Drosophila melanogaster: one gene and its partners. Changing the gene in region 2 together with the main gene of any one other region gives a genetic interaction. Each region holds a gene or a part of one and is shown on either strand. Other genes may lie near its edges.

Evidence for each region.
Region 1: of eRF1 (region 2) and en, changing one suppresses a phenotype caused by changing the other (phenotypic suppression), as found in Drosophila melanogaster (one study listed by BioGRID).
Region 3: of eRF1 (region 2) and shn, changing one suppresses a phenotype caused by changing the other (phenotypic suppression), as found in Drosophila melanogaster (one study listed by BioGRID).

The regions. Positions count from the first base shown.
Region 1 is NT_033778.4:11,523,436-11,530,226, reverse strand, and holds en (engrailed), read left to right. Parts: upstream 1-2,016; 5' UTR 2,017-2,556; coding exon 2,557-3,868; intron 3,869-5,001; coding exon 5,002-5,099; intron 5,100-5,379; coding exon 5,380-5,628; 3' UTR 5,629-6,221; downstream 6,222-6,791. UniProt on the Drosophila melanogaster protein: This protein specifies the body segmentation pattern. It is required for the development of the central nervous system. Transcriptional regulator that represses activated promoters. Wg signaling operates by inactivating the SGG repression of EN autoactivation.
Region 2 is NT_037436.4:20,346,583-20,354,475, forward strand, and holds eRF1 (eukaryotic translation release factor 1), read left to right. Parts: upstream 1-1,772; 5' UTR 1,773-1,803; exon of another isoform or gene 1,804-2,359; 5' UTR 2,360-2,538; coding exon 2,539-2,624; intron 2,625-3,722; coding exon 3,723-3,898; intron 3,899-3,976; coding exon 3,977-4,446; intron 4,447-4,511; coding exon 4,512-4,667; intron 4,668-4,741; coding exon 4,742-4,939; intron 4,940-5,000; coding exon 5,001-5,148; intron 5,149-5,316; coding exon of another isoform or gene 5,317-5,396; exon of another isoform or gene 5,397-5,678; intron 5,679-6,224; coding exon of another isoform or gene 6,225-6,307; exon of another isoform or gene 6,308-6,545; intron 6,546-6,862; coding exon 6,863-6,972; 3' UTR 6,973-7,291; downstream 7,292-7,893. Other genes in the region: Rbbp5 (retinoblastoma binding protein 5), read right to left, coding at 1-293, 353-472, 526-707, 770-976, 1,031-1,251, 1,309-1,327; CG5618 (uncharacterized protein), read left to right, coding at 7,644-7,823.
Region 3 is NT_033778.4:11,172,120-11,176,883, reverse strand, and holds the start of shn (schnurri), read right to left. Parts: upstream 3,082-4,764; 5' UTR 2,110-3,081; coding exon 2,079-2,109; intron 1-2,078.

The DNA of each region.
Region 1 (6,791 bases), on a different chromosome or scaffold from region 2:
TGCAGCGTAATGTGTTTCTTTGGTATGTTTTGGCACCCTGACAAGTTCGTTGTTTGAGTCTTTTGTTTGGCCGGCAGCTACGAAGCTGAGAAAAAGCCATTAGAGATCGAAAAGTAACCGAAACAGAAATAGAAACAGAAACAGTAGCCGAAGTGGTGGAAAGCCAAAGCTCATTAGCAGTTACCATTTTATCCAAACAGACGCATCATTATCATTAAGGGCAAACGGGAAAGCAGCAAAAGCAGCCACAGCAACAATAGCAACCACAGCAGCAGCATCAGAAACAAGTTGAAAACTTTAATTAACGCATTTTTACGCAACTGTCGGCAGCAGTTTAACCCTTTTCGTGGCCAAATGCTGAGCAAACACGACAACGGTAATAATTGAAAATCATGGCAATCAAAGCGGAAAGTGTGTAGGGGAATGGAACGGTGTGGAAGGGTGGAAGTTGAGCGGAAAATCAACAGCTGCCGACGGCAACAGCGGAATGTGTAAGAGGAAGATGGTCAAAGGGGGTGTGCGAGAGAGAGGCAGCAGCCATTGTTGTCATGCGTGAGAGAGCAGGGCAGAGTGAGCGAGAAGCGCACAGTGCGAGAGCGAGTGAGACAACTATCTATTCGAAGTTCGAAATTCAAAAGGGGAAATAGATTTGGCTCCGTTCCAGTTTCCAGTTTTTCCAACTTCGACTTTTAATGGCTGACCGCAGACTGGAAGGTGCGTTCGAACCGGTTAAGATCGAATCGAAACGGTTAAGACCACTCAACGGAATTTCAATTTATGCATCTGAGCTGTTCAAATATATTTATTAATTTATATTCGATTCAAGTCCATTTGATACTTATAAAAATGCGCATAAAAATTGAATAAATTTCGGCCCATTGATTGTGGAACAGGTTAACCACGAAATTTGCTCTAAATATGGATTATGGCTTATTGTTTGGGCGTTAGTTTGTTGGCGCGAATTGCTTATGTCACAATTGGCAACAGGAAATGTGGGAGTGTGAGTGGTGGCGAGATTACTCTCTAATTAAATCCTTTGCCCCATAAATCAGTAGCCCACATGGCAACGATCGCTTTTATTATGCAAAAATTAACACAACAAAATCTGCTAGCTATAAGGCAATTCATTAGCGATTTCGTTATTTGATTTCGGTTTTATTCACATCGAACAGATTCGTTGATTTATGAGCTATATATCAGTGGTTATATGTTCGGAATCCCACATCTATACACTATTTGCAGCACATGTTTCACATTTGTAGATCGTCGGTTGATTAGAGCCCCACAAAAAAGCGTTATTGTTAATGTCCAATGCCAAATGGCGTTCGTTTTTAACACCTTCTAAGGTTTATTTTGACAGTTAGCGATGGTTTTTCATTCGCTCGTCTGGCAAATCGATATTCGATGGGCAAATAAATAAATTAAATGTCAATTAAATATCAATCAATTTCGTCAGCTGTTTTTCAAGGCACATTTAACTGGTTAATTGAAGGCCTCAAAAATAAATTGTCATCGTGTATTTAGCGTATTTTTGTGAAAAATCGCAAATGATACTGGTGGTGGGAGTGGGGGTGATAAAAAGTTTCCCTTCATTTAAATTAAAACAATTAGCTTTGCGGTTTTTTTCCTCTCTTTCGATTCCCCCTCTACACATGGCCTAAAGGTGGTGTCGATAAAGTTGTAGGCTGTAGAAAACGCAGATTGAAACGTCGCGGCCGAAAACAAAATCAACAAAAACTAAATGCTTATGAAAAGTGTCTGTGGAAAGAGATGGCATGTGGCTCTCCCCCTCATGGAAAGGCAGCCATTTTCCTGGCCTACTCGCAGAGGGAGTGAACAGTGCCGCTATATGACCCCCACTCGGTAACGCCCCGTGAGAGAGGGAGAGCTTGCGCCTGCGCAGTTCGCTGGGGACACAGTTGTCAACCGGCTGACAGCTCCAGCATGCGCATAATAAAGTCATATTGCTGCCTAACAAGCCCCCCTCGCCAAATTGGCAAGAGAGAGTGAGAGCGAGAGGGAGCGAGCGAGAGAGCGCTCTGGCCAGCTAATAGGAGTGAGTGAGCCGGCGAAACCGGTTCGCATGGGGCAGGTGACAAGGCTAAGAGAGAGCGAAAATCGATCAGTGTAAGGCCGAAAAGACACATCTTCTACTCTCATCTCTTCATGTCACTGTCACCAACTGCTGTCACTCACTCACTCGCTCGCTCGCACACACTTCGCCAGCTACTTGTGGGATCTCGCCCTCTCGCTCCCGCACTCGGACCTCTCTTTCCACCGTGACAGTTCAATCGGCTCTCGCGTTAACTCTCCCCGACGTCGGCGCTGCGATTCCGAAGTAGTCAACTAATTCAGTCGTTGCGCTCGATGTGAACAGACGTGCGTGTCGGAACAACAGTTGCAAATCAAACACGAAAGCATAAGCCAAACAAAAAACACCAAACAGAGAAGAGAATCAGAAGATTCTGAGCAATCAGAAGAATCAGTGGCTCAGTGTCAAGTGACCCAGTGACAAGTGTCTTAAGCGAGTTGCGATTTAGCACCAAGTCGAAACCAATGGCCCTGGAGGATCGCTGCAGTCCACAGTCAGCGCCCAGCCCCATTACCCTACAAATGCAGCATCTTCACCACCAGCAACAGCAGCAGCAGCAACAGCAGCAGCAAATGCAGCACCTCCACCAGCTGCAGCAACTGCAGCAGTTGCACCAACAGCAACTGGCCGCCGGTGTCTTCCACCATCCGGCAATGGCCTTCGATGCCGCTGCAGCCGCCGCTGCTGCAGCTGCTGCTGCGGCCGCCCACGCTCATGCTGCTGCACTGCAGCAGCGCCTCAGTGGCAGTGGATCGCCCGCATCCTGCTCCACGCCCGCCTCGTCCACGCCGCTGACCATCAAGGAGGAGGAAAGCGACTCCGTGATCGGTGACATGAGTTTCCACAATCAGACGCACACCACCAACGAGGAGGAGGAGGCGGAGGAGGATGACGACATTGATGTGGATGTGGATGATACGTCGGCGGGCGGACGCCTGCCACCACCCGCCCACCAGCAGCAGTCGACGGCCAAGCCCTCGCTGGCCTTTTCCATCTCCAACATCCTGAGCGATCGTTTCGGAGATGTCCAGAAGCCGGGCAAGTCGATGGAGAACCAGGCCAGCATATTCCGCCCCTTCGAGGCGAGTCGTTCCCAGACTGCCACGCCCTCCGCCTTTACAAGAGTGGATCTGCTGGAGTTTAGCCGGCAACAGCAGGCTGCCGCCGCAGCCGCTACTGCGGCCATGATGCTGGAACGGGCCAACTTCCTTAACTGCTTCAATCCGGCTGCCTATCCCAGGATACACGAGGAAATCGTGCAGAGTCGGCTGCGCAGGAGTGCAGCCAATGCCGTCATCCCGCCGCCCATGAGCTCCAAGATGAGCGATGCCAATCCAGAGAAATCTGCTCTGGGATCCCTGTGCAAGGCGGTCTCGCAGATCGGACAACCTGCTGCCCCTACGATGACCCAACCTCCGCTGAGTAGCAGTGCCAGCAGCTTGGCCAGTCCGCCACCCGCCTCCAATGCCTCGACCATTAGCAGCACCTCTTCCGTGGCCACCAGCTCGAGCTCCTCCTCGTCGGGTTGCTCCTCGGCGGCCAGTTCCTTGAACTCCTCGCCCAGTAGCCGACTGGGAGCCAGTGGATCCGGAGTCAATGCCAGCAGTCCCCAGCCGCAGCCAATCCCGCCGCCATCCGCCGTTAGCCGAGATTCCGGAATGGAGTCCTCGGATGACACGCGTTCCGAGACGGGATCCACCACCACAGAGGGCGGCAAGAACGAGATGTGGCCCGCCTGGGTGTACTGCACCCGCTACAGCGATCGTCCCAGCTCAGGTTAGTATCTATGCGATTACCTAGCGTTTAAGTGGGTCAGAAAGAGGGTTCGTCGGGCACCATCTTCAGTGTTGTCAAAACAAGGAAGTCCCAAAGGTTCGTTAAAAAAAAAAAGATGTGAAAATGGTAAATGGTATATGGTTACATGGGGACCACCCTTGGGGAGCGTTATGTTGGCGGCAGCCTTTCAAGCAGCTCTGTTTTGTGTCATAAATCCGAAGGACACTGCCACAATTAGGCGACACGCGGACAATGGCAATGAGCCCGAATCTGACTCCCATTTCTATAACCATGCCCATTCCCATTCCCATTTCGTATCCGAATCCGAATCCGATTTTGGGCCTCACGCAGTGCTGCGCTGCTTTTGAAGAGCGACACTTTATGTGACAACATGTAGCGCAGAGCCAGCGCTTGTCTATCGGAACTGTTAGATCCTCAGGTCGAAGGTCACCGCTCACGCACACACGCCACGCAGAAGCCGAGACCCTAAAACGCGCTGACGATTGACAGGGGAAAAGTAGGTGCGGGGGAGATATGATGGCGGGGGAAGCCCCTTCGAAAGGAGAAGAGTTTTCCATTGACAAGCGGAGATTTTCCTTGCAGCTCTTCTTAGATCGTGTGTTAATTGACGAGTTAAGTGCTTTTTTATGGTCGGCAATGGTTTTTTAATTTGGTGTCGATGCAATCGATGGCAGCCCATAAGCGAGGCGTTGATGGCCCCACTCCGCGGCTAGGAATTAATCAAACGATCTCCACTTACTGGCGGTCAATTAAATTATAATTTACAATGTGTGGAAATCTAATAAGCACTACGGATTGCTGCGGTGCCGCGTTGCCAATTAGCCGGTGACTTGGACTTAGTCGCTAATTAGAGAGTTGGCTAGCTGGCAAATCATTTGCCTAAAATATGCCGTAGACCTTTGGGTTCGTTAACTCGCCGGAGTTCTACTCTTCTCTTGCGCTGACAGCTGACAAATTGAACACTTCCCCGCCAGCACGCGAAAGGGAGCTCCAGCTCCGGCCGAGGAATTCCGCCCAGACATATGCTAATTGAATCATTAATATTATTAATAGTATGTGGCGCATTTATGCAAATAGAACTAACGTATTTCTCGTGTTTTTGTTTATTCCAGGACCCCGCTACCGCCGCCCCAAACAGCCAAAGGACAAGACCAACGACGAGAAGCGTCCACGCACCGCGTTCTCCAGCGAGCAGTTGGCCCGCCTTAAGGTGAGATTCAGTTCTTTTTTCCATATATGGTTATATGGTTATACCAATATCCATCCATATCCATATCCAATTGCCCTACGCTTGTTGTGTCATATTTGCACCAAAATATTGACACCGCCCGCTGCTAATGCATCCTGGCAATGTGGTGTCCCGTCCGTACTTAACCAATCAGCCACGCTCGGCCGAAACCGCAAATAATTGATTTTCCCTACCTGACTATACAACATGGATATCCTTGCCATCCGAAACTCATCCAGCATTCCATTTCTTCCACTTACAGCGGGAGTTCAACGAGAATCGCTATCTGACCGAGCGGAGACGCCAGCAGCTGAGCAGCGAGTTGGGCCTGAACGAGGCGCAGATCAAGATCTGGTTCCAGAACAAGCGGGCCAAGATCAAGAAGTCGACGGGCTCCAAAAATCCGCTGGCACTGCAGCTGATGGCCCAGGGATTGTACAACCACACCACCGTGCCGCTGACCAAGGAGGAGGAGGAGCTCGAGATGCGCATGAACGGGCAGATCCCCTAAGCGCTGACCAATGGTTACCCATAAGGGGTTACTCCTTCTGACGGGGGCGTGCAATATTCGAGGGCGTACAAATGGTTTTCATGTGATATAATTGTAGCGTACATATGTTTTTGTATATATCTCTAAAAATATATATATATATACGTATAATCCTAACCTAGAGTAAGACCCATCCGTAGCGAATTCGAGCTGTAAGTTGTTGGCGTATTTATTTAACCACCCCTGGATAGCCGAAAGTATTATCGTAATCACCCGACACAAAGCCTATCGCTATCGCCGCACTTCAAAAGCTTCGACCTTCAGACGTTTATTCCTACACAAAACACTATCTATAGTTATTACTCCCTATAAATTACGCGCTTGCAACCGCTCTGTAAATTAAGTAACTTAACAGTTCCCTAGCTTAATTCCTAGTTTACACACTTAAGGATTGCTATGAAAGAGTATTTTAGTTTCTAAGCGAAATGTTAACGAGCAACTAATAGCTGGCAAATGCACCTAAGAAAATAACAACGAAATGTTTGTGCTAAAGCAAGTTCATGAAAAGAAAATTAAAAACAAAATAAAAGAATTATGGAAAAAAATTAAAATGCAATTGGTTTCCTCTGGGAATTGGAAGTCTGCTACATTAAAGGAAAATATGCCACCCATATATCGGAGGACATGCGGTCTAATCGGTGGCCTTATTTGTACTTTGTGTAGGGCGCCATTATCTTCTCTACGCTTTTTCATCTGTCACATCAAAGGCTATAGAACATTAAATCACGAACACTTGTCGTCGGGCGAGGGTGCCGCTAATTGCACAATCACATTCCGAACCAAAATCGGAGGCCGTCGACGAGTAACGGCAGCTCTTGCTCTTCGATTCCATTCCGTTTAATTAAAGCCAAATCCGCGCGTAGTATAAACAAATATCTGTGACGAGACAGAAGCCCAACAAACAGAAAGAAAAAAAAAAATGCAAAACTAAAGCGGCAGGGAGCAGTCATCAAATGATTTATTGGCACAGATCTCGCGGCGAGCGGCGTTAATTTGCTGAAAATAAATGCAAACGCGAAATGCAATGCAAAATTGTGGGAGGGGGCGGGATGAGCAGCTGACATTTACTGGCAAGCGTTGATGTGCACATACAATACACACACACACATGCACGGCTGTATGAA
Region 2 (7,893 bases):
CCCGCTCTTCGTACTCTACGTTTTCGTCTAATTCCTTGAAATCTGGTGCAAAGGCAGACCAGTTTTCCACTTGATTTTGGGCCCAAATGGATACCAGTCCGGAGCTAATGCTGGCAATAATAGGCCGCACAGGATGCCACACCACGTCCAAGAGCAGCTCACCCTTGGTGCCATGCAGGATCTTCACCAGGTTTCCAATAGACTTTTCCCATATGTAAAGAGCATGCTGGCGAGCACTGCCAGCGCAAATGTACTCCCCATCACCGGAGAAGCAGCACTTTTTCCAGGTGGTTCTAGATGGAATTGATATTGGTCAATCAAATGGTTATCAAGGGTTTGTTTCATAACATACTTATTGACCAAGTCCTGTAGCTTTTGTATAGGTTCCGGTTCGCCGTCTTTGCCTAGAGTGATTATTTCTTTTGAGTCGTAAACACGAATAACTCGATCTGAGGTGTTGATTAGAAATGCGCTGAAAGATAAATTTGTTACGTTATGAAATCCCGATTACTTATTAGTACCCACTCTCCACGCCTCGCAAACTCGATGCTTTTTACAGCCGTTGCACTTGAGGTGCCTACAATAATGCGAAAACTGGCGACCACCTCAAAGGTTTCAACATCCAGTACGAGTATTTTTCCCTTGGCGTTGCCTGTGTAGATGTGTTTGCCTCTGCGATCGAAAGAAGCCACGATGTTCAAGTCGCCCTGGTGAGAAACAAGGATTTCAATTAACAATCAAGCTGCGAAAAAGCAATGTGCAAACTCACATCGGAATCCAAGGGCAGGCAGCGGTGAGTTCCGCCGACCTCTACAAGAACGGCGGCATATCGCATGGGGCACACCAAAAGTCGGTTGTCATTTCGGGGATCGAACTGTACTTTCAGCACAGGCGATGGAAACCTATACTTGTGTTCCAGTTCGCCGGTTAGCACATCCCAAATGCACACATTGTTGTCCGTGGAAGCTGAAAGTAACTGGAGTGGATTGGAAAATGTAGATGATCAGGTGTACGGCGAGCGAGGGCCTACCTTGTGACCATTCCTGGTCCAACTGAGACTGCAAACGGGATGCACATGGGCCGAAATAATCTTGGCAATGCCCCTCGTCAGAAAATCCCAGATTACAATGCGGCCATCATTGCATCCCACGGCCAAAAGGGTTCCGTATTTGTTAAAGGCACACGTCACGGCCAACGAAATGCAATCCAGCGAGCCGTCGAACTCCTCTGGGTAGTTTTGTCCGAAAGATTCTTAATAAAGCTGGAGTTATTTACTACATAAGCATAAAAAATGGGCGGCAATCTCACCTAGTAGCTCCAAATTCATTTTTGTTTACTATCTTCTTCTTTTAAAATGGCAACTGACACTCACACCGAACGGCAATAACATATTATGTTATAAATGATAAGCATAACAGAAGACGAGTTTTTCGATAGTTAAGGTTATATTCTGTACAACTACTGAACATCAATTATTATATTATAATACGAATTTAAAAATCTACGTATCTACGTTGGTGTTTTTTGTGGTTTTATTAATAGAATAAGTTTAGTTAATTTTAGAGGTGAAATTAAATATTGAAATAGTTAAACATATAAAATAGATAAATTTGGTGAAGCGTAAGTAAATTTTAAACTGCATTAGTTATATCTTAATTCAAGTTCCCCACTAATTTATGAGCGTTAGATGCGATAGTGTTATGTCTGGCGCAAGCGATTGTCTCGACGTTTCTTCGATATTTTAAGATATCGATAATGTCATCGGAGATTTGCCACCCCTATTTTTTGAGCTCTGTGCACGTTGTATGAGAAAAATTTATGCAGATGTATTCGCCAATTGTAACCAAGTCCGGATTGTGAAATTGCACGCAGACAGCGAGCATCATAATAAGCGCTCTAATTGGAGAAGGCAGAAGTTTCGAATTAAGCCATTTCGGAGACGTTTCGTCCGTGGCACGCGATTGTGTCAACGTCACCTTTGGAGCACTCGCCCTCTCTCGCTCGCTCCCGCTTTCGTTGCCAATTTTTTGCTTGCCCTCTCTCGGTCACTCCCTTCGAAAGCTTAACGGTTAGAGTGTAATAATGAAATAACCCAGTTTCGAATTTCGTTCACAACAAAAGTGCGGGCCTTTCATGCCAAAATAACATTTGGTTTCGAATTGTTTTTCAAATTCGAATCGAGGTTTTCCAGCTTTCCAGTTTGACAGCGAGAGAACGAGAGAGAGCGAGGGCGAATTACGGTGTTCGCGCTCTGCTTGTGCTTTCCACTCCACTCCCCTTCTTAACTTCCCCCCTCCCAGCCTATTTACTCTGTGTGCATGTGTAAATGAATACTTTAAAACGTTTTTAATCGTTGCAGTGTATTCATCGCCAGCCACGTTAAAAGGAAGAACGTGTATGTGAATACGACCATCAGAGGATCTTAGCGAAGGATTCAGGAGCCCAAATTCTTAATCCCCATCCCACACACACACATATACTCGCACGTAGGCACGCTCTCTGTGAGAGGAAGGGTAAATAAAAGAAGCAACGAGCAAAATGTCTGGCGAGGAAACGTCTGCCGATCGCAATGTCGAGATCTGGAAAATCAAGAAGCTCATCAAGAGCCTGGAAATGGCCCGCGGGTGAGTCTTATCAATGATATACATGTCCTTTAACGTCCCCCCCAACGACTGTTTTGCGTACGTGTGTGGGGTATACACAATGCATGGCACGAAAACAACAACACTGGGGTGGAAGTGGGCGTACTGGACGTGGGTGTGGGTGGGGACTTGAGGGAGCGGCGAGTACAACCACCTTTCCTTGTTGTCGCCGTGTGAATCTCCTTTGCATTGTTTCCAATCTTGGCAAGATCCCCCGCCTCACTCTATCTCTCTTTTTTGCATACGAGCAACACGTTTTTGTCGAGTTTTTATCAGTTCAAACTAGACTGATTGAGAGACGGAGAGAGAGAGAGAGAGAGAGGAGTGAGTGAGTGAGTGAGTAATCGCCTCGTGGCTGTTGTGCGTATGCGTGCATGTGTGTGTGTGTTTTTCCCCCAAAATGGGCCAAGCTTTGTGGACCCCTCGCTCTCACTCATCCTGCCTCGCTCACTCCCTTGACCCGGTCCTTACCGCTTCACACCGCTTTAGAGTGGGTAACAAGGTCAGCAAATCGAGTGACCCCCACAGGAGCATATCTGCTATGTATATACATATATATGTATATTGTTGTCAATATGCTCCACAATTGGAGCTAACATTACACCTCTTCCAATTGGAGTTGGCCACTGTTGCCAATTGGGATTCGCTTTGACAGATATCTTCCTATTGGTTTTCAGCCATATGCGAAATATATACACACATATGTATTTGTTTTTCTTTTTTTAAGTTCTGTGCTATTTTTTGTTGTATTTTGCATTCCAACATTTTGTACAAATTACGATTGGCACTCCTCTGTATTATAACGAACGAGAAAATGATTTGCATCAGAGAAACAAACGTTTGGAAGTTACAGAAACGTATTTGTTTCAATAAATTAATCAAAGTTTAAATTTAGTCCAATAACCGAATGTCAAGTTTAAAAGACATATGCCACGAAATTTCACGGCTAATTAAATAACTTTAAAGTAGGTTGCTATTATGTGCATCTGACGCGCAAATATACGATTGAATAGCACTGTTGCTATGGGAGAAAGAGCCATTTCCGCGACTTATGTTCTCCCTTGTTTGGGTTTCTTGCAGCAATGGAACCAGCATGATTTCTTTGATTATTCCGCCAAAGGATCAAATCTCGCGCGTCAGCAAGATGTTGGCCGATGAGTTTGGAACGGCGTCGAACATCAAGTCGCGTGTAAATCGGTTGTCCGTCCTCGGTGCCATTACGTCGGTACAGCACAGACTCAAATTATACACCAAAGGTAAGCTGAGCTAAGAAATTGTTCATAAACAATCGAACAAACGAACTCTAAACCGTATCACCAACCGCTTCAATTCAGTGCCTCCCAACGGTTTGGTCATCTACTGCGGCACAATAGTCACAGAGGAGGGCAAGGAGAAGAAGGTGAACATAGACTTTGAGCCATTCAAGCCCATAAACACGTCGCTCTACCTCTGCGACAACAAGTTCCACACGGAGGCCCTCACTGCCCTGCTCGCCGACGACAACAAATTTGGATTCATCGTGATGGATGGTAACGGAGCGCTATTCGGTACCCTTCAGGGCAACACGCGCGAGGTGCTCCACAAGTTCACCGTCGATCTGCCGAAGAAGCACGGTCGTGGTGGTCAGTCCGCCCTTCGTTTCGCCCGTCTGCGTATGGAGAAGCGCCACAACTACGTGCGGAAGGTCGCCGAGGTGGCCACCCAGCTCTTCATCACGAACGACAAGCCCAACATTGCCGGACTCATCCTGGCTGGTAGTGCGGATTTCAAGACTGAGCTTAGTCAGTCTGATATGTTCGATCCTGTAAGTGGGAGTTAACCTATTTCCATCGATGCCATATTAAGCCTTACACTTGAATCTTTTTTCAGCGTTTGCAATCAAAAGTCATCAAGCTGGTGGACGTGTCGTATGGTGGGGAAAACGGTTTTAACCAGGCCATTGAACTGGCGGCCGAATCATTGCAGAACGTTAAATTCATACAGGAGAAGAAACTCATTGGTCGCTACTTTGATGAAATTTCTCAGGTGAGTTGCCGGATACGAGTTCTGAGGCATTTCGAAATTAAAAACCACATCCGTATGCTTTCTATATTTAAAAGGATACTGGCAAATACTGTTTTGGAGTGGAGGACACTTTGCGGGCACTGGAACTTGGCTCTGTAGAGACTCTCATTTGTTGGGAGAACCTGGATATTCAACGTTATGTTCTCAAGAATCATGCCAACTCGACGTCAACGACAGTATTACATTTGACGCCCGAGCAGGAAAAGGACAAGTCGCACTTCACTGACAAGGAGGTGAGAGCTAAACTGAGTAATGATACTAATCCGCACGCTAACTGGGAATTCAATCGTATAGAGCGGGGTAGAAATGGAGCTGATTGAGTCTCAGCCGCTGCTGGAATGGCTGGCAAACAACTACAAAATGTTCGGCGCCACACTGGAGATTATCACGGATAAGTCCCAGGAAGGAAGTCAGTTCGTGCGAGGTTTCGGTGGAATCGGCGGTAAGTTTGAGCGGCCAAACAGCACGGCTGGCTAGTTGTAGATTGGTTATGTACTAAACAAATGCTGCAACTATATCCATTCCTCTTCCCTCATGCTGCTTTCACACGGTCGTCAACGCTATAATGTAAATGTTAATTTGCAAACTGGTACCTCAATTCGATATGTAGGCATTTTGCGCTATAAAGTAGATTTCCAATCCCTACAGGCCGATGAGCCGCTGGAGGATGTCGATCTCGATGACTATTAAGCCTGTTAAGGGTGGGCTGCGAATGGGTCTCGATTATGCGTTACATACATAATAAACCAGTACTTTTTGGGAAACCTCGTAAAGCAAAACGTTCAAATTGATTAGGAACCAATTTACTTGCCACATAGTTTTACCTATGTTCAGCGTAGCCGTTCAATATTTATCACCAATAGGGTCCCTCTCATCAGTCGGATGGTGCATTCCCTTGTCGATCAGATCAGCGTGCATCTAGATATGTACCTATACGTTTTACCAAATTTTTTAATTAGTCGTGCACCAGGCGGAATCGCGTACTTTTAAGCAGCATATTAAATTCGTATTTCGTACTCGTAATTCGTAATTTGTATTTCAATGGTCATGTAAAAGCGATGCGATAGATATTAGCGCATTCTCCGTTCATCTGGTTCGATTTCGACTGCGGTATTAGGAGCAAAAGATCTTCGGTTAACTGCCACATGCCACTTTCGAACGTATCTGCATTTCCCCTATTCAAATTATAGCCGAGTGTTATAAGAAAGTATACAAATCTAATCCATAAAATTGTAATAAAAATTAAACCAGAATAAAAACACCACACAATGAGGATGGGGTATCCGTTTATATTCAGTCGCGAAGTACAACAAATATTTTATTTAGTGTATGAAAAGTTAAATGTGGATACAAAGGAGGTGAGAATCTGAGTTTCGGTTGAACTATCCTGTGTGTTGATCCTTTTGTTTTTTCCTCTTCATTTATTTTTCAATTTTCAATCAGCTTCTGTTCTTCTATTTTTTTTTTTTTTTTGTTTCTTATTTTAATTTAATTCAATTGCTGGGTGTGCCTCTGCAGGTATCTTACGCTACAAGGTGGATTTCCAGAGTATGCAGCTCGATGAATTGGACAATGATGGCTTCGATCTAGATGATTACTAGGAAATGTATCTGTAGAAATGAATTTGCCACTACGTTCGACCGCAAACTGAACTGCAACTACAACTATATGAATCCAGGAAATCAAATAGAATATTTAAATAATATGAGAAAACACAAACCTTCTTCCATTTTTACGTTGTTGGCGAAAAAAGTAAAATTTTAAATAATGCATATAGATACAAACGATAAAATGTTAAATCGAGGAAAACATATTAAAATGCAACCGTTTTACGTGAACAAATTTGCAATTTGAATATATTTTCGAGGGACTAGAGCTCTTGTTATATAATTAATTGTTCCTCTATAAATCTAAATCTAAATCTACATTGACAATACGCCACGTTTCCTAAAGTTTTTGGGTACAAGGAGAATTGTATCTGTGAGTTTTAATCGTTCTATTATAGCTTGAAAACGAAATTTGCACCGAAAGCTGATAAAATTCCGACTCTGCTATCTGCTGGATAAGTAAAATGCTGGTAGCCACTTGGAGTACTACCAGTACAGCAATGAAAGTAAAGTGAAATGGGCATTTCATTTTCTACTTTCTATTTGCAGGCACACTGGAAACAGTTTACTGCGAGATTCCCACTTCATTAGTTGGCAATGCACGTGGACGACAGCAAAAAGCACTCGTAGTACTTGTTTCGCCCTTGATTTGCATCTAAGAATCGCTCAGATACATCTGGTGAGCTGAAACTCGTTTCTGAGCCGCAGTGTCGTGCAGGTATCCGTACTCGTTTGAATATTTGTAAGTAATCATTGCAGCGAGACTTCCAAAAAGTAAGCTCAGCTAAGTTCTGCGGTGTTGGGCATCCAATTAGTTGACCAAGTTTTCTGGTGGCATGCACATGAAACTTGTTTAATCGATAGGGTAAATATGCAAATTTCGATTGAATTTGACGATAATGCGTCGAGATGAAAAGAAAACGAATTGTGCAGGATTTTGGTTACGAGATAAGCCGAATCAGCTAATAAGGCACGTGCTTAATTGATATATATTGTATGTTTAAGTAACCTAAATATGCACGACTTTAATATCACTTTTATTTCGCTTTCGTAATAAAACGAGGTTCACTCTAAAGAGCACAAGCGTGGAGGTGTATGTGTGTTCTTACAGCCCCGATCATTTGTATTTCCATTTGAGTGCGAGCGAAGACGAGGGTTTACAACTTGATGAGAATTTGATCAAGATAACATTAAAACACAATCTGCTGCAGTCGGACGGGGCACTTCTGATTGAATCGTCGACGGAAGAGGTTCGGATCTCGAAAGCCAAAAATAATCAGCCTTTTACTGGCCAATTGAGATACGGAAACTTCTACCGACCGAGTGTAGTATGGCTGAATCAGTGGATGGAGCAGAGACTGTTGACCAGATTCGCGATGGCCTCATGGACGACTGGAAGATCCTGGAGAACGTATTCCACCTTCTCCGGAAGGAGGATACCTTCTGCGTGGATCCCCAGAAATGGGACAAGCAGAAGATAGTCCCCTTTTTGCAGCCAGACAAACTTAAGGTGAGTGGAGCAAGTGATAGACGATTCGGCGTCTGCCGATGTGGAGATAACCAGAGATAACAGAGAACTG
Region 3 (4,764 bases), on a different chromosome or scaffold from region 2:
AAAGTCAAAGACAAAGACAAAGCCAAAGCCAGCTTAAGTGTTTCGGCCCAGCTACCCAACCTCAAAGATCAAACTCAAACTCAAAACCCAAACCCATACCCATTCCTATTCCCATTCCCCCAACCATACTCAAACCCATACCCAAAGTCGTCTGCATACCAAAACCAAAACCCATCGGCAGCTGGAAGTCAAGTTGGAGCCAAACTCTTTGAGCATGTTGCGCCTGCTACAGTGGGTACTCCATGGAAGGACGACTTTCATGTTAAAGGTTTGATGATTTTGAAATATATTTAAGAAGTATTTCAAATAATCTCTCTCCAAGTTGCCAAGTATTTTCAATTGGTCATGGTTTACAAAACAAAATGGTTGAGTTAAAGTCTCAACAACATTGTTTAAAAAGTTAAGTTGTTATTATTGTTATTAAAACAATAATATTTCGAATATAAATATTTATAACATTTCAGCATAATTGGTTTAAAATGCTATAAAATAGTTTTAATATATTTATTTAAGAATGTTATATTTAATTACTGGTTTATTGTTTCAAAAGGCGAAATAAAACGCTCACGTTGTGACATATTAATTAAATCAAGTTCAATAAAAAAAAAGTGATTGATCGGATTGAATATATTCAATTACTGGTTGCCTAGTCGGTTTGGTTTTGAAATGAAAAGTAAATTCATTTAAAGCATTTAGCTGCAGCTGATGGAATGCGCACTGTATCCGCCCAGCGAGCAGTACTTGGCATATATCAAAAGCCAGGCAGCACACTTGTATCTCATTTGGCAAAAGTATCTGCGGATGTCGCGGGTTGGGGCGGGCACAAGAAAGTATCTGGCTTTTTAATAGGTTCAAATTGTGGCATGAGTAACGCAGCGCACAGAGCAACTTGACTAACAGGCGGCGTGACGTGACGCAAAGTATCTCGGCTATAGCGATTGTGGATGTGCAAGTCGAGTATCTGTGACTGTGCGCCTTTTGTATCTGTATCTTTGTATCTGCGTATCTGTGAGCTAGGCTGCCTGTTGAGCGGGTGAGCTGCGCCAAAAGTTCATGACGCTGGCTGAGCTTGATTTTCAGACCATTTTACATGGGGCAATTCCGATTGCGACTGGCTGGCAAACAAGCTGCCTTGTTTGCGTCTGTTTTTACGTTTTTTTTTTCTTCTGTTTTTCAGCTTCTCTGCTTTTCACCCGCTTTCTGTTTTCCTTTATTTCAGCTCTCTGTTTTTCCCCCTTTCTTTTGCCCATTTCGTTTGTGTTTTTGTTTTGTTTGCCGCTGCCCTGTGAGTGTGCGTTTGTTTGTGTGCCTGTTTGTTTGTTTGCCTTTTGTGTGCGCTGGGGGATTACGTAAGGGAATCCCCAACATTTTGCAGCGCGCGCGCCAACGCAACTGAATTAAAATGATAAGGGGACTGTGGGTGGTTGGGCGTGGGCGCAATGCAATGAAAAGTGACTACTGACGCTGTTGTTTCATGTTTTATGCATGCCCTCCCTCTCTTTGCTCTCGCCCCGTCCCTCTCTCTCTCTCTCTCTCTTGCGAGTGGAGCACTCATGGCACACAAATAATAATGCAAAAAAATATATATCTTATAGATACAGCCAGAGGTTTCGAGTGGGGGCGTGGCTGAATACTACATACATTCTTAATTACATATTTTTCCCTTTGAGCCGCCAAGAAAAAATCACTGCACTTGACGAGATTCTTTGAAGCTCTGAAGCAAGGACTTACTGTCTTGCCATATGGCAGCTGTGAAACTCGTCGTCCTTGAGCTGAAGCCCAATTTTTTTAAGACCGCTGGAGTTCTTTTAATAATCAACAAACTACTTGGAGTGAATTTGTTATCAAGAACAAAGCAGTCAAAGTTCGATCTTATAATAGAACCACTAAATATAAAGATTCCAAAGAAAAGTCAGCATAGAAATTGTGGATATTGGGTCCCTTTTCCTTGTAAACACTTTATGGAAACGTTTGCAAAATAGCTTAAAATCCTTGAGAAGAGGCAATTTCCCGGAATTTCGCTGGCATATTTTCGAACTCACGCTTGATTTGAATAATTAACAGGAAAATGTACTTACTGCCTCGACCGCTGCCCTTGCGTCGCGCCATTTTCCCTGCTTCAAAGTTGGTGTCCCGTTTTGGCGCTGTCCGCTGTCCGCTGTCCCGTTGTCCTTTTGCACAGAACAATACTGCTGGAAATTAGGATCCTTGCGCTTGACTGATGTATATTTAATCAGAGGCCGCCTACCCGCTGGCACGCCCACTTGCGACACTGGTTCTGGTCTGTTTGTATGGCACAACAGCAACAAAGCTTGTACGTGTGTCGACGTCCTTGACGCACACAATGACAAGCGTCCTTGTTTGTCTGAGCGTATGAGCGCGCGCGTGTGTGTGTGTTTGTGTGTGTAAGCGAGTGTATGGGTGTGTGTGTGTGTGGCCTGGTTCCCGGTTCGCTGGTATTTGCCAACTAGACAAATAGAGGAGCCATGATGTCCAAGTCCCTGGTATTATCCTGATATGCCGCTTGCCTGTCGACCTGGTGGAGATTGCAACCCGCTGGCTGGCATCGCTGCTATCCTGCCCAAGTCTCAGTATCCTTGGTTGCTGTAATTGTGCTATATAAATCCATGTAGGCGTATCCTCTGCTCGCTGTGTAAAAAAAACCTCAATTCGGAAATGTTCGGTTTGATATGCCGTTCCTTATTTTTGTTGTGGTAGGTTTTGTTTGATTTGTATTACTTTTGACAGACCCTGCGTATACGCAATATTCGCAACTAAATCGCGCGCGCCGCGAATTCTTTCAGTTTTATGTGCTGCGTGTGTGTATGTATGTACACTCCTTATCAACACTGTTTCATCCGAGGGCCTCACTTTATTTCATATATATTATATATCTCTTTCGAAATATGCGCTATATGGCTGTTGCGGAATCTATTAATAAAACGGACATGTTATTCACCATGCGTTGCGATTTGACTTGATTTGATTTCGTTGCTGGCTTTTTTGCGCATTTACCGAGAAGTGCGAGAAGCGCGCGAAAACGAGAGGCGTGCGTCGACGTCGGCGTTCACGGACAAACAGAGCCAGCGAGAATCCGTTAGGCCCCCAAAAGCCAAAGCCAAAGCCAAAAGCCCGAACGCCAAGAGCACACCCAAAGTGAGCTCTCTTTTGGCGCACAAATGAGAGAGCCAAAGAGCGACGTAAGTGGCTTTCAATTCGACCAGCCGTTTCGTTTCAATCGAAAATCGCCTTTCAACTTGTCTGTTTACCTTTTTTCTTTTCCCACTCACAGAGCAGCGAAGAGAGTTCGCTAAGAGAGTCGCCTTATCAGTATTGTGTGTGTGTGTGTGTGTCCAAAGCTTAAATGCCAATAGCAGGAGCTCCAGATGATAAGCGTTATTTACTTGGCTTACCTGCGCTGTGATAATACCTGGGTTGTCTGTTTTATCAGTTTGCTAATTTACATTTTTAAGATTATCCACACAATTGATAAAAAGGTAATACTTTTCTAAGCCTAAATGTATGCAATATCAAAAAACAACATGGTGCTTCAGTGGAAAAGCATTGATTTAGGCGATTTGATAAATTAATTATAAGGAGTTGCTAAAAATATAAACATGTCATTATAATATATTTTAATAATCATAAACTTGGTGGGACGAACACACAAACCTTATAAACTAGCTGCTGCAACTCGCAGCGAAAATAACGAAGATAAACATTTAATTCATGGTTTAAAAATTATTCTAAATTATAGATGAAGTTTGATTCTAAGATATGTACTCTGTTGAAACACATTTTAATTACTGCACATAGAATCGTATCCATTCCAATGATAGTAATGTTTCGACTTAATTTAATATTCATATGCATAAAAATAGCAAATTCGATGAATTAAATGAAGACGTTTAAATGAAGGCGTCCTATTCTTTGATACAGCCATTAATGTTTCCGATTCATTTAAGGCAGACACTTTGGGCCCAGTCGAAAGCTGTTCGAGCCGCAACGCCTCGTAACGCCTGGTGTCGAAAGGCTGAAATAATGCGGCTTCAAAGGAAATTAAGTGCTGGCGAAAATATGTACATATGTGAAGAAAAGAAGAACATATCGCAGAACATTGGCGATGGCGATGTCAAGTGGATGGGATTTTGGCTGACAGCTGTGAGAATTCCCAGCCAAAGTGACAAGTAAAAGGCGTGGCCTTGAGCCTCATTTGCCAGCCCCAAAACGCCAACGGCCGCCCTTCAATTTAAATTCATATGGGAAGATATACGATGTTTGGCCTAAACGACTTTCAATAAATGTGGTTTGTTTCTTTTAAGAATTTTCACAAATCATTGATATTTATTAGAGCCGCACGCGTGACCACCCTAATCACATCACTCATCCTTATGTTCAGAGTTAACCCCCCTGCACCCCCCCCCCCCTGTGTTATACTATGCTCCATCGTCAATGAAAACGAATATATGTACTATGTTCGAACAGCTGTTCTTTGTTTACAATTGGCGCAGGCGCCCAATTGGAAATTGTTCGTGTGCGTGTGTATGTTCGCCCGGCTAGAAGGCCTTCCAGTTCCAGTGCGAAAGCAGTTCGAAACTGGAAGCTGGAAGGAGGGGAAATTCGTGGTGCCGAACACTTTGGCGCCAAATGAAAAACGTCCGTCGGAATTTCACTTGCAGTCGGAAAATAACAGAGCGCGTGAAAGGATCACAGTGCGGATCAAACAGACCGGTCTGTTGAAAAGTCAGGGAAATCCAGTTGAAA